2 linked regions of the Alligator mississippiensis genome follow. The protein of the gene in region 2 interacts with the protein of the main gene of each other region in a pairwise test. Links are inferred from orthologs where the notes say so. Each region holds a gene or a part of one and is shown on either strand. Other genes may lie near its edges.

Region 1 (7,223 bases), on a different chromosome or scaffold from region 2:
CTCTAACATATATATTGCAGAATGACAAGGATGTTAGGAATGAAGCAAAATATCTATGCATGTTTAAGCAAGGCTGTCCCACAACAGGTTAATAAACAGACCTCAAGCTCCTACCTGGCTGCTGCTCCCCTTACTGCTCCAGCTGCTACTGCAGCTGAGGTCTCTAAGGTACCCCTCCTTCCCACAACTTTTCCTTTTTTGCTCCTGTCCCAAGGGACAAAATGCCACACTACATGGCGCACAGTGGTGTGGCAGTGTGTGTGTGGGGGGTTAATCGTTCATGCAGTACAGGAGCTGTGGCTTGTAGAAGTGTGGCCCCTGGAGAATGCAGCCCCATTGGTATGGTCTGTGAACCACAACCGCTTACAATCTGGACAGTCCTGTGTTAAACAGAATGCATTTAGTCATTGGCTTGAAAAATAAGCTACCCTAACTTCAAGAGTTTCCTGTTGACACTTTCTTGAAGCAAGCTTTCCATACAAATGTTCAAATACTGTGGCAGAATGCTAACACATGAAAATGCATGCTCTGTTAACGAAAAAGCTGTGTAAAGACAACTGCCACTCACTCTGCCATTCCTCTTGCTCCTGGCATTTTTTCCAGTTTGAACAAATACCAGCATAGCAAAATGTAATTAAAACATAAACATACTTTTGTCTAAGGTGATATTTAACACTGTATTGAAGCTGAAGAATTTTTTTACCCAACTATGCTACTTTTACCTAAAATGGTTTACACTCCCAGATCATGCTAAATACATTTGCATCTCTAAATCCTAAACAGCATTCATTTTACCAGTAGCTTTACAAGTCTATAACTCCAGACTGTCATAATTGCTTTTCACCTATCAGTCAAGAATGTGTCAGCTACATAGTACTGCATCCACTTCAAGTAGTGGGAATCATTTAATTTCAATTAAGGGATGTTAGTAAACAAAGAGTGCCCACACAGCAGTACAGGAACAAGTGATTTGGTCCATCATCATGACAAATGTTTAACTGACAATGGTCATAGAACTAAGCCTGCTCAACTGGCAACACAGTTTTCTGTATATGATATCAGGGGTGCACCTATGACCCCTGCATGCTTGCTCCAAAATTCATTCCACAGAAGTTGAACATATCTCCTGGACTTTGAGTAGTATTTTCCCTCATTTCATACATTACAGGACTTTTCAAACCATGAAGTCTTTAGCCAGCCACAACTTTCTTAAAAATGGTTTTATATCAGGCGGGACAATCTACCATCTCCACTCAGTTATTTCAAAAATAGTGCTTTGACAAATATAGAACAGCTCATGTTTTAGGTCCAGCATTCAGAAAATGCAAATTCTGGTCACATCTTTTAAAATCAATGTAGCACTAATATTTAAAACTAGCTCTGAGCTACAAAATATACTCATTGCACTGAGCTTTTTCCTTTGTCAAATAGGAAAAAAGTAGTGGTTCAATGCCAAGTGTTCAAGTCGTTACAATACAGCTTATGACAGGGATGTCAAAGTTGTTTGGCCTTGTGAGCCAAATCCAGACCACAAGGCTCCCCATGGGCCAGACGACCCAAGAACATCAGGGGCGGCCACCATTAATCTTGTGGCTGCCATAAGTCCTCTCTTCCGCTGTCACCAATTAACATTGCAGAGAGACCCATGGGTCAAATTTGGCCTACAGGCTGTATGTTCGACATGCCTGGTTTAATGACAAAAAGTAGTTAATGATATTTTCAGTGGTATGTATAAATACTAACATGATTTCTGATAACTGCATACTTCTAGTGCTGAACCTAGAGCTGCTGTTTCAGGATGGCCTCACATTGTTGCTCAACCTCAGGCTTGTTTTAAGTTTGATTTGTACAGGGAAAGTAAAAGACAGAAAATGCTAGAAACAGCAGCAGGTTTAAAAGCAACAAGTTTCCTGGGCCTATCATAACCAGACCGTTTTGGCCAGTCACAGCACAGGGCAGTGATCCAAGTAAATAAGCCTACCTCTAGCACGGAGGACATGAAAACAGCACACGAAGTGTAATGCTCCAGGGGCTCTCCGGAGCAAACACAACCTGACTCTGCGCAAGCCTCCAACTTAATCTGGGGCAGTGGCACACTTCAGTCTCAAGAAATATTTAAAAAAGGAGGCTGAGGGGACGCTCAACTAGCAAAAGTGTGACTAACCAGGTGCCTGAAAAGATTTGGCGGTTTAAACAGGCTCCGGTTTTTACCATGAGGCTCTGGAGCATGAGCTGGCAGTACAGCCCTACCACCAACCCCCCCTGCCTGGGCCCGCTTTTCCAGACAAGTTTCTCCTGAATTTTGACCAGCCCTCTGAGGGGATTTCACAGCACCCTGACGGCTGCTCTGGAGTTAAGGAGAGCAGGGAACCATCGCTGCCTGTTCCGCCTCTAAATCCAGCCCAGCTCATGGCTTGAGAGGAGCCACAGCAGCACCCCTGGGGCCAGGTCTTCGCTCACGTCCAGTCCCAGGATTCAATGGAGAGGCTGGAGGCAGGCCTCTGGGGCCCATCCCCCCGCCCCGCTGGCAGCCAGGCCGTTTTGCAGTCTCACATGCCCAGGAGCGCAGGCCGGGCCGCCTCAGCCCTCGGTGCGGGGGCCCGCACTAAGGAGCCATGGAGGCCTGCGGCCTGCCCGGAGCCGCGCCGCACCGCGCAGCCCGCTCCGCTCCTCCCCGGCCGCCAAGGCCCTTGCGACCCCCCGCCCGCCCGCCCGCCCAGGCAGGCCCCGGCCCCGGCCCCGGCCCGCACCGTCTCTTCGGGGTCGATATCGATCTTGAAGGTCTGCTGCTGCAGCGTCTTCAGCGTGATCTGCATGGCGGCGCCGCGGGCCCAGCGAGGCCGCCCCCGCCCACCCGCCGGCTGCTGGCGCGGGCTGTCCGCGCTGCGCTGCGCTGCGCTGCGCTGCGCCGGGAGGGGGGCAGGTGCGCAGGCGCGGAGGGCGGGGGGAGGCAGCGCGCGCGCGCGCGCGGGAGCCGGGGGTGGCGGGCCGCGTGGGGGAGGGGTGGGTGCCGCCGCCGCTCACGGCCTGGCCGCCGCCATCGTGACTCGCGTCCGCAGCCCCCCGCGCCAGCCAGGGCGGGGGAGGGGAAGCGCGCGGCGCATGCGCGGGGGGGGGGAAGTGGCTGGTGCGCAGGCGCGGAGCGGGGCCCGAGGGGCGGGGCCGCAGGATTCTCCCTCCTCCATCCCGTCAAGTTCCCCTTAAAAATAAATAAAAGCCTCAGCGCGGGGTGAACTTGAGACAAACGCACGGGCTAGGCCCAGCGTGAGTGGTTATGCTGGGATAAGGACATGTTCAGACCCGGTCTGGGCGGGCATGCCAGGCCCTGGACTGTTCTGCTCCGGGACAGGCTGCATCTCACGTCTGTTCCTGGCTTCAGACCAGCGGCTCTTGGTCTCATTTGGACTGCAGTGCAGGCGGCCTCGTGCCGCCTCTCGCTCTTCCTCAACTGCGGGGAAGCGAGAGATGTCGGGTATCCAGGTTGCAGCCGCATTGGTCTAGAGGACAAGGCAGTCAGGACTTGCAGTAGAGACGATATCTTTTATTAGACCACCATGCAGCAACCGGCGACCCTCCTGGAGCACAGTGTATGCATGAGGGCCACCCAGACCTTAGCTGCCTATGCCTGGGTGGGATATTTTGGAGGAGCGGAGGCTACTAGACCAACAAGATGAGAGCAAGTCTCGTCCCAGAAGAACTCAGGAAGGCAGCCAGAGGGCAGCAATGGGGTTTTGACAGTGTGAATTCCTATCTGAAATCATGCGCAAGGGTTTGCACGCCTCGCCACACTAATATTGTATAGCGCTCTTCAAAGGGATGTCACAGCACCCTAGCTGAGCACCCCCTATGCCTTGGGTAGCAGGAGTAGGGAGAGAGGGTAGGTCTTTTTTTAACTGAAAGTGGCACCTCGTTCCCCTGGGAGAAGAGGAAGCCAGTCTTTAAGGCCAGGGTCAGACATTACACTTGTACTGGTATAAGTGATTGGAAACCAGTCTATACCTGTAATAAAACAGACATTCAGCACACAAAACTGGTCTATACTCGTAACAGAGCAGAATTTCAGCACAGACTGGTTTAAAAATGGTGGAACCCAGTCTAGGATTTCCCCCCCCCCCCCGGGGGCAAATGTGTGTTCTGTTCATAAATGACTCGTCCTAATACTCCAGGCCACTGGCAGAGCTCAAACATGTGATGTTTCAAAGGATGAGTAAAATTTAAGAATTATTCATGCAGATTTAAATAATTTTTTTAAAAAACCCGCCTATACCAACATGTCCAGGAACTGCTAACAATCCTGTAGGGTTTGAGTCCTAAATGGTAATTTTCCAATAGTGTATTGTGTGCAAATAATGAAATAACTCCACCAGAAAATATACCAGTGCAGAGGAAACAACCCCTTACAACCCTCCTCAAGGTCATGCATTTCTCATTAGACCTTATAAAATAAATGGCTTTTGCACTGTCCCCAAGTCATTGCGTTCAGAGTATTTAGATCATGGGGAAAAGCCCTCATAAAGAACATCCTGTGAGCAGCACCATCTTTTTTATATAAAAGGTTTCTCCTCAAGCGCTTTTGCTGGCCACTGCAGTAAGTGATGAGGAGAGAGAGTCTTTCAAGCCAGAAGGTTTGCAACGGTTGAGGACTCCAGTTACTGAAAGTCTCAGTAAAACACATACTTTGCTGAAAGAAGACAGTAGCATTCAGACATCTCAGTGAGTGATCTCCTTTTCCCATAATAGTACTGGATACAAACTACCCTTTTGAAATGTGTGGGCACCTGGGAGAGAACATTCATGTCCTACTGTCCCATCTTATTTTTAGTTTAAACATTGGTGCCCAATTACTGAATTAAGTTGGATGGTAGTGGACACAACAAGAAGGAGGTCTTAATGTTACTTACAGAAAATCCCATTGGCATTGCTATATTTCTACAAGAAATACATACTGTAAACTGTAGACACAGTCAATTACTGATGGACCACGCTGACCAGTGCCGACTACAGACCTAGCAGAAGCCTGAGTTATGAATATGATGTGCTTAAAATGATATACAACCAATAATCAACAAGCTTGCATTTAAGTCATAAGCAATAGCCTGGGTAAACAGAATAAGAATCTGTTTATCAAGGCCACTAGTATTAGATTAGGCCAAGAATGAATAACTGCTTTGTGGACAGTGTTTTATAGAAGCTAAAAGGTAACGACTGATGTTTTAAGAATTAAGTTGTATGTAGTCATCTAGAATTTTATTGGAGGAATAATGGGTCTTGTTTAACTTGTTGTCAGCCTTGGCCCCTTTCAAGGGACTTATGCTAAGTAGCAGCAGGGTGGTTAAAGCAGGCCACAAAGCCTGTTTCAGAATGAACTTTTGTAAATGTATTACAACTGGCTTAGTCAGCAAAGTTAAAGAAACAGAACATGGCAAATTGCATTCCCAGAGGGTGAGGGAGAGAGAGAGATAAGAGGTCCTCTCGCTCTCCCAGAGTTGTATTTTTCACAAGAACATAGACCTCAGCTAACTGGCTTCCACAGAAAAGCTGGGATAGTCCAGTTCCTAAAATCTCAGTGAAACAAAGAAATTTGAATAACACCAATCAGAATATTAAAATAAGCCACATATAAATATTGGGTATTTGGGAAAGGCCTCAACAAATTCAAGATGCCTGATGCTAGCCTGCATGCTACCTTCCTCCTGCCTTCTGCATCTCCCCCTCTCCCCCCCAGTTGGTATAGCTGAGAAACTGTGTTGTGCTCTTGCAGGTAACTTGAGATAGGGTTGGCAAGCCAGTCAATTGACCAGTCCAGTATTATCAACTGACTGGTCCATTAACTGCATATTTTTTGACTGGTCAAAAATTATAGCAATTTTATATTTTTTTAAGCTACATTTATTGTAGTTTTTTTGACAGACATATGATTTTTTATTGCTTTTTGACACATTCCTTAATGGAAAATGTTGTGCTTTTTCTGTATATTATTAGACCTATTGGCAAATTTTTACAGTTTTTGACTGACATTTGACCCGTCAACTGACTGAACTTTATTTGCCTGGTCAAATACCCTGTGTTGCCAACTCTCATGATTTTTGGCATTGTTCTTAAAATCTACACTTCAGGAATGTGAAAAACTTAGCTCTTTCTTTTATTTCTATATATAAATATAGATTATATATATGTATATAATCTATATATAAATATAGATGTAATCTAAATATAGATAAAAGAAAGAACTAAGGTTTTCACATTCCTGAAGCAGAGACTTTAAAAACAATGCCAAAAATCATGAGAGTTGGCAATTCTGAATACCCAGCCCTAGCTAGAGACAAATGCTTATTATTGTGCTTTGGTGTTGGGCTCTAGACCTGTCTCTTGCCTTTTTATCTGACTTGGGTGGTAGTAATATCTTATCTGCTAAGAGGGAATGGAGGATCATTGGGAAATGTGATTGTATCTTATTTGATGTTCAAAAAAAGTAATCATTAAGGAACGTGTAACTGACCCTTAACTTGTGTCTAAACTTGCAAAAGAATTCTCATCTTAGGCTGTAGTCTTGTCTCTCTGGAGACCGAATGGTACTTTGTTTTTGGTAACAATACAGCTACATTTTTACCCACATGACATATTTTTAAAAGCAAGAGTCTTTCTAAAATTTGTGCCATAGTTCAAACAAGGATTAATTTGGAAAGTCTGTTATGCTGGAGGTCTGATGAGATAAATCATTGTGACCCCTTCTGGCTTTATAATTGATGAATGTATTAATTATACACATTTGTATATATATATGTATATATATAAACACATTTGATATGGTTTTTAATACCTTTTTGAAGTTGCAACCCCTTTCAACATTTTCATTTGACCAGTACTTAGAAAAAAGAATCCAGGCACATTCTTGACTCAAAAAGGAAAGTCTATGGCCTGATGGATGTTGCATTACTGTAGTGTGACTCGGAAGAAGGCAGACCCATCTCTGCCACTGGCCGTTGTTCCATCTCAGCTGTGTGTTCTTGGGAACCCTGGCACAGGATGCAGTCTGTCTGACTCACCCCCTCCTCCCTCTGCTCCTCTACATAAATGAAACTGATTAAGATGCAGTGAGAGACACACCTAAGACCCTCCAGATAACGGTGACAAGAGTGAAACAACTGCCCTAGGTCTCATTTGCATCTGAGATGGAACCACATGACCATTCATTTACATGAGAGATGGAGAACAGAAAGCCT
Region 2 (7,852 bases):
TGCCATTCTGTGAAGCAGGGGTAGGAGGTGACTGGAGACACACGCCAAGCCAGGAGATGCCCAGCCGGGATAGGGGGGCTGCAGCCAGGTGGCTCCTGCCCCAGCATGCGAGGTCCCGATCCCAGCTCCAGGCCACCTTCCATCCATTCAGCCACCCACAGGTGACTGTGGGACTGTGGCAGACTGTCATGGGCGGGGCTCAACCCCATGTGGGTGCAGCAGCAGGCCAGATTGGAGGGGGGGCAGCGCTGACTGCACTTGTACCTGCCCCTCACCTGGGTGAGCTGTGCTGCACATGCCCCCTTCCATCTTTTTCCAGTACCTAGTATGCAGGCAGCTGCCCACACATGTCCACACGCTCCCCACAGCATACAATAGTAAGACTTTATTTTGAGCTATTATACAATTACCTCTATATATGGTACTCAAAACATAAATCAGGACAGAAAATCTTTTTTGAGATAAAGTTTTAGTAGATGTTTGGATTTTAATATAGGATTTTAAATAAATTATAGATTTTAAAAAACAAAAATATCTGAAAGATTTTGTGTGCAGCCCTCAATAGCTCACCAAAACTCATTAAGTGGCTCACCAGCCAAAGTAATTGTCCACTCCTGCTCTAGCAGCAACTTATAGCTGTAGTTTCTAATCAGGCTCCTGCTTACTGCCCCTTTTGTGGCAAGTCACAGTTGTGCAAGTTCAGAACAGTCAGAGAAGATTTTAGCCTAAATATGTAACTTATAAAAACTCGAGTTAACATTGATGCTGATTGACTTCTGAATGTAGAATGAATACAACCAAAAATCTAACTAAGACTGGGGACACACCTCTTGGAGGACAATCACTCCCTCCCCAAACTCTCAGTTCTAATTCTCAAAGGGAACTTACAAAACACTGTCCGTAGACGAGCCTATGAACTTCACTTTATGACTCTACTGGAAACAAAAAATCATGGACTCAAAATAGACATTGGTTTTATGACACGTTACAATCTATCCGACATCCGATTCACCAGGTACCTGCCTGACCTGACCTCTTACATTCTTCTTTTCCCCCACCTTTTCTCCTCTCCTTTTCCATACTTTTCTGTTCTTTATCTTCCTGATTTCCATATATTTCCTCTCATTGATGCCTCTTTTTCACCTTGTATTATTGCCTCTGTATGTTCCCTTTAGCCTTTTTTCCTTCCTTAGCTTCCTTCCTCCTCCCTTCCCTACTTTACCTTTTTTCTAATTTCTACCTATTTATATTTTCACTGACATCCTGTCACATTTCTAGCTTCTCTCAGTTCTGTTTTCCTAATCTCCAGCTATTCCCTTTTTCACAGACAGCCTCTTTTCTACCTTGTATTCTATCAGTATAATGTCTCCCTTCTCTTTCCCCTGCCTTCTTCCCCCTCCCTCCTCTGCCTTACCTTTTGTCTTTCTAATTTCTACCTATTTACATTCTCACCGACATCCTGCCACACTTAACTTCTCTCATTCCATGGAGTCTAAGACCAGCAGAGACTCCCTATGCCTGAAGAAGGGTGACTGTGCCTGAAAGCTTGGCTAAGGACTTCCCCCCCCCCTCCCCCCACTACTCAGTTGGGGTAATAAAAGATATCACATCTACTAAAATACCTTGCCGATAGACATTTTGAGAAGCTTGAAGTATAATATGTAACAAAGCCCATTTATCTTCAAATAAATTGGGATAGGACTAAAAGGAGGGATGGACAGCACAAAAGTATGGTTCAGATAAGGCAAGGTTCTTTGAGTAGATGTGGTATCTTTCATTAGACCAACTAAATAGTTGGAAAAAAGGTCTTTGTAAGCTTTCAGGCACAAGCACCCTTCTTCAGGCATTGGGAGACTGCTCTGCTTCCGAGATCTCCAAGGCAGGAAAGAAGCCAAAAGTGCTACAAGACATCTGTGGAAATGTAAATAGGTGGAAGTTAGGAAGACAATTGGTAGAGATAAGACAGGGAAAGAATGCAGACGGTAAGCTCAGGCAGGTACCTGGTGAATCAGATGTCAGGCAGGTTGTAATACGTCACAAGTCCAATGTTTATATTAAGTCCATGAATTTTGTATCCATTAGACTTACAAAGTGAAGTTTTGGGCTCATCTATGAAAGATGTTTTGCAAGTTTCTTTTGAGGATTAGCAAAGAAAACTTACAAAACACCTTTTGTAGATGAGCCTACGAACTTCCTAGTCACTGAAGGCTGCTATTCCCTCCATATTAAACACTAAAGCTAACTTCCTGTTACAAGCAAAAGGTTTAATTTTTTTCCCCCTCAGTTTCCTTGCCTCTTGACTCACCCTTTATGTCACAAAAGCTCACATAAAATAAGTTACCTTAGAGCAAGGGTGGCCCATGAGCCAGATCTGGCCCTTGGCATTGTATCATCTGGCCTGTGGGAATACCCACCCATCTGTGGGTTGTAGTGCTACATGCTAGTTTAGGCACAGTGGTGCAGGGCTTGATCCTGGCATATGGGGCTAGGTGGGGGTAGCACAAAACCTCACAGCCTGATCCCAGTGGGCAAAGACAGTGTGCTGGGGTGACACAGGACCCAATCTGTGGGACCTGTGGGGCCAGGCTGGAAAGGCCCCTGCTACACCAGCCCCACGGGCTGGGGGAAGTAGCTGCAGCACCCCCCTGCGACTGCAAGACCTCCAGTGCGCCACTGAGGAAGCATTTATTCGAGTCCCACCAGAACAGGCTGGGCGAGACCCCATGAAGGCCAGCCCAACGCCCTGCTCGAGACGGAGCGGGGGTGCCTGTACCAACACCGTCTGCGCTCGCGGGCCTGGGCCCCGGCCTCTCTACGACATCTGGCGAGAGGCTCCCTCGCACTAAGAGGCCCGCCCTGCCCTGCCCGTCACCTGACGCAGGGTCCCGCCCGTGCCCGCTCCCCACCCCGCTCTTACCGGCGCGGAACGCCCGCCCCCGACCGAACCGCTCCCGCCCGCTCACCCTCTCGTGGAAGATGGACTCCATGTTTATTTGTCTCGAGCCAGCGGCCTCCGCCTCACGTGACAGCGGCCCAGCCAATCGAATAGCGTTTCACCAGCAGCCAATCGCCGCAGCAGTCCCGCTTCCTTCCCTGCCCTCAACGCGGCCACGTGGCTCTCGCCCCGCCCAATAACATCTCGACAGGCAGATCATGTCTGCGGCAGCTGGGCCGGCTGGGGAGGAACGTGCTTCCGGAGTAGCGTCACTGCCGCCGGCGCGGGCTCCCTCTGCAGGCCGGGAGGATCCAGACGCTGGCGCGGGGAAGGGAGGGCTGCACGGGCGCGGCCGGCTAGCGCAGCAGTGGCGCCCGCTGCCGGTTGCGGAGCGCTGGGTATCCTGGTCCGGTTCCGCCAGCCCGGGGATCGGTAGGTCTGGCCGAAGGGGTGAATTAGGAAATACATTTCCCAGCGCTTCTTGAGCTGCACGCGGGGCATTCAGGCACAAAGACGATGGCATTTTCACTAGGATCTACACAAACCTCTCCCCCGGGCACAACAGGCAAGGGGAAGGAGTAGGGAGTTATTTCTAAGCAACAGGCCATGTCTGACAATAATACTGAAAACAGGAATGAGTGAAAGAGAAGACACGGGAGAAGGGAGGAGAAGGTGTATCTCACCAAATTTAACCTCATTCATTCTCCCAGAGGCTGGTACACGAGACAGAGTGGCCAGGCAAAGACCACTGCTCCCCATCATTGTCATATCCAAACACTGAAATCCCAGACTGATGACATGGCAGCATCATTAGTTGCTCCATCCATGCTGTTTAGCTGGCTGATGTTTCCAGCTTAAAGAAAAATAAGCGTGTCTCACTCTTGGATGCTTCAGTTGGGCTTTGCCTTCTTTCTCAATCATTTGAGGTCCCTCTGGGGCTGAAGGGCCCAAGTCCTGAGCTAGGAACAGGAAGGCTGGCAGTTTAAGTCTGGTTGTAGGAAAGTGATCTTAAGTCTCAATTTATGGGCTGGGGCACATGACTTCTGAAGAGAGGCTGAGGGAGCTGGGCTTATTTAGTCTGGAGAAGAGAAGACTGAAGGGGCATTTAATAGCAGCCTTCAACTACCTGAAGGGCTCGAAAAAGGATGGAGCTGGACTGTTCTCAGTGGTGGCAGATGACAGAACAAGTAGCAATGGTGTCAAGTTGCAGCAAGGGAAGTTTAGGTTAGATTTAGGAAATATCACTATATCATTCACTAGGAGGGTACTAAAACATTGGAACAAGTGACCCAGAGAGGTGGTAGAAGGGCCATCCTTGGAGATTTTCAAAACCCAGCTAAGCAAAGCTTTGGCTGGAAGGATAGTTGGGCAGGGGGCTGGACTAGATAGCTCTGAGCAGGGGGCTGGACTAGATGACCTCCTGAGGTTCCCTCCAACCCTAATTTTCTACGATTCTATGTTGAGCTGTCACTTTCACCTCTCCCAAATGGACTTCTAGCAGACTCTACTTTTGACTGCCATCTTGTTTCTCAGTTTCTGGGATGAAATAAAAAACTGGGAAGTTCTATTTATACTACCTGATGACTAAAAATAAACCCTTCCATTAGCTCTTTCCATAACATCCTTCTAAATTCAAAACCACTAGGATTTTGTTGCAAGTTAATACTTGTATCAACAACTGGCAAAACTTTCAGGGCATGGGCACGGGCACCTAGAAACACCGCCCCCCCCTCCCAAACAGGAACTTTTTAGAGGACTCAGCATTGCTCTGAGGCACTGAACCAACATACAGATTGGAAGAAAGTTATAAGGTTTTAGGGTCTGACCTTTTCCTGTTCTGCAGAAGAGTCCCCATAACAAGAAATGCCACAGCAAGGAAAATGAGAATTGCCAGAGCTGGTCACACCAAAGGTCACTGATAGGAGACAGGACACTGATCTAAATGAACAAGCAGTAGTTCTCAGCATTTATAGACTTAACACACCCCTAGGAAAATGCCAGCTCTTAGCTTTCACTCATTTGTTACTACAGAAGATATAGTAATTCTCCTGTTGGAAAGAACTTGTAATGTTTTTACTACTGTGGATTCCTATTCAAAGTCTCTGGACTTAGCTTGTGATTCATGTCCATACACCCACCACTGCTAACTTTGCCACAGCACCCTGGTTGAGAATCACTGCTTTAGAGGGAGAAGATATTTAGAAAATGAATTCAAGGCTGCATCATACAAATTCCATATCACAAAAGGTAGAATTAAAAATCTGGATCCTTTGTGACAGCTGGAAATTATGTCTGTGTGATAAAGGTGCTTGCTGAAGGCTCTATGAAGATTAGACCGAGTGTTTTTCTGTATTTGTTTAGATATTAAGACAGCACTGTTGTGGAGGAGGTTTTGCCAATGAGCACCAACAGAGTGCACCTCAGCCCTGTTGGCCTTGGAGCCAGGGGCAGTAGATCACCCGGTAAGAGATGTGATCCGGCGATTAGTGCAGCTTTTACCCATTTTGCAGAAGCCAGGGCTGGCTAAGCCAACAAAAACTGCCAAGGCCATGGTGGTGGCCTCAGCAAAAGACAAACCCCCTGATCCCCCCAAATGGTTGGAAAAAGCTGGAGAGGGCCGGCCCAAGACTCCACGAGCGAAATTGTGGAAAGACTTGTTAGCTGCCAGTTTTAATAAAGTGCAAATTGATGGAGTGCCCACCAATGTTTTGGAAGGGCTGTGGGCTAAACACTGCAGTGAAAAAAGCAAGCCAAAAAGCAGAGCCATCTGCACCACCAGCAGGGTCACCAGAGGGATTCTCTGCCCTGAGGGCAGAACTCTTGACATTTTCCCAGGCACATGCAGGACTGCTAGCCTTTACACCCCCTAATTATGTGGCTTAGGAAGCCCGGCCGACCCAAGCCCCAATGAAAGGGGCCACAACGGGGGCAATAGTGGGCCGGGGACCGGTATCTAAAGTTAATATTGGCCCCTTGATTAAGATACCTGTACAGATTCAATTAGGTAAAAGTAAAAAGTCCATTGATATGCTATTAGACATGGGTGCCCAGATTTGAATTTTAGATTCTGCAGATTGGAAGGGGGAGAAAGGAACCCCTTATCAAGTAATTGGAGTTGGAGGCACCAGACGACCAGGACATCTGGTCCAAGCAACCTTCGCGTTACCTAATGACTCTAAGGTAACAGCAGCAGCAGTGATACTTAAGGGGGGACCAAGCTTACTGGGACTTAGTGTACTAAGAGAACAGCGGTTTGCCCTTGAACAAAAGAATTGGCAGTTTGGGTGCGCAGTGCCTCACTGAGAAACAGAAGAAACAGCTATAACAGCTGTAACTCGATGTAACATGATCCCACTAACTCTGCCTCCCATGAAAGGAGTACACAGACCCCAGTATCGAACTCCCTCCGAGGCCACCAAACCTAGCCAGTGTATCATAAGTCAGCAGTTAGAAGACGAAACTATTATCCAAAACCACTCCATATAACAATCCAGCATGGCCAGTGCACAAGCCAAATGGAGGGTGGTGACTGACTATTGACTTTCGAGCTTTGAATGCTAATACTGACCCCTTGATGGCTGTCGTCCTGTCACTACCAGCCTTGACAGAAAGCATCCAGTGTTATGGACCTGCGTGGATGGGATCCGTTGATATCAAAGACATGTTTTTTGCTATTCCCATCCAGGAGAGCCACTGGCCAGTATTTGCTTTCATGTGGATAGGGCAGCAGTATACCTACACCGTGTTGCCCCAGGGGTGGATACACAGCCCCACCCTGGCTCATGGGGTTTTAGCTACAATAGTTCATGAAGTCCAAGAAAATATAGATGATATCATAGTAGGCAGTCAAGACAGAGAGGCTGCCACCAAGGCCTTTGAATCATTAAAAGAGAAAGTGCTTACCTTTGAATTCACGCTGTCTGAACAGAAAATCCAAAAAGTAGGGTCCCAGTGTGAATTTCTAGGAATAGAATGGCAGAATGGGGGGCCCACAATACCAACTGAGGAGCTGCGAAATATAGTGGAGACCCCAACTCCCACTAACGTGAAAGAACTGCAAGCCACTCAATTTTTGGCATATGCATGTTCCTGAGTTTAGCGTATTAGCTCGTCCCTTGTATAACCTATGTAAGAAGAGAACTAAATGGGAATGGGGTCCTAAGCATAAATATGCCTTACAAGCCCTTAAAGAAGCAGTAACTGTTCATGCCTCCCTAGCAGCACGACGTCCCGAAGGAGAGCTTTGGCTCCATATAGGCGTCTCAGAAGGAGGACCACACTGGAGCCTGTGGCAGGAGTCCTCGGAAACAGAAGGAAAACCCCTTGGATTTTGGAGCCGAGGCTGGAGAGGGGCGGAAGCAAGGTATACTCTCTTAGAACAGAGGTTGTGTGAAGCAACAGCGGCCCTGGAAGCCACAGAAGCACTGACAGGAGAGTTACCCACAGTTATCACTACTCTGATACCTATTCTCGGAATGGCTCTGTCAGACTTCCAGCTACCACCTGGGGGGAGAGCCCAAAACACCACAGTCCAAAGGTGGATTTATTACATTTTGAGCCAGGTCCAACGAGTAACCCCAAAGGGATGCCCTGCATTAGTTGAAAGAGTCACAGAAAGTACAATTAATGTTTATCCTGATCAAACAAGCTGCAGTGAACCTTCACCCATCAAAAAAGCACCTCCTTTCTCACCTGAAATGGAGACCTCAGCCAATGTTAAAGTCTAGTTTACAGATAGGTCTGCTCGAGGTCATGCCTGGAGAGCAGCTGCCTTGAGGATTCGAGATGGCAAGAAAGTAGTATTACAAGGCCTCGGAAAAAGCGCGCGCAGTATGCCGAGCTCCAAGCAGTGCTCGGCATGGCTGTGCGGGAATTAGTAGAAGGTCCATGTCCTAGAAGGCCCATTTATATTTATAG

What was found. The genes of interacting proteins can lie anywhere in the genome.
Region 1: the proteins of ATXN3 (region 2) and RAD23B interact in a two-hybrid assay, tested with the Homo sapiens proteins (2 studies listed by BioGRID and IntAct). The link is inferred for Alligator mississippiensis from reciprocal best matches to the Homo sapiens genes ATXN3 and RAD23B.

Annotation. Positions count from the first base shown.
Region 1 is NC_081826.1:159,380,866-159,388,088, reverse strand, and holds the start of RAD23B (UV excision repair protein RAD23 homolog B), read right to left. Parts: upstream 3,031-7,223; 5' UTR 2,817-3,030; coding exon 2,751-2,816; intron 1-2,750. UniProt on the Homo sapiens protein: Multiubiquitin chain receptor involved in modulation of proteasomal degradation. Binds to polyubiquitin chains.
Region 2 is NC_081825.1:275,333,674-275,341,525, forward strand, and holds the start of ATXN3 (ataxin-3), read right to left. Parts: upstream 3,063-7,852; 5' UTR 2,988-3,062; coding exon 2,964-2,987; exon of another isoform or gene 2,918-2,963; intron 1-2,917. UniProt on the Homo sapiens protein: Deubiquitinating enzyme involved in protein homeostasis maintenance, transcription, cytoskeleton regulation, myogenesis and degradation of misfolded chaperone substrates.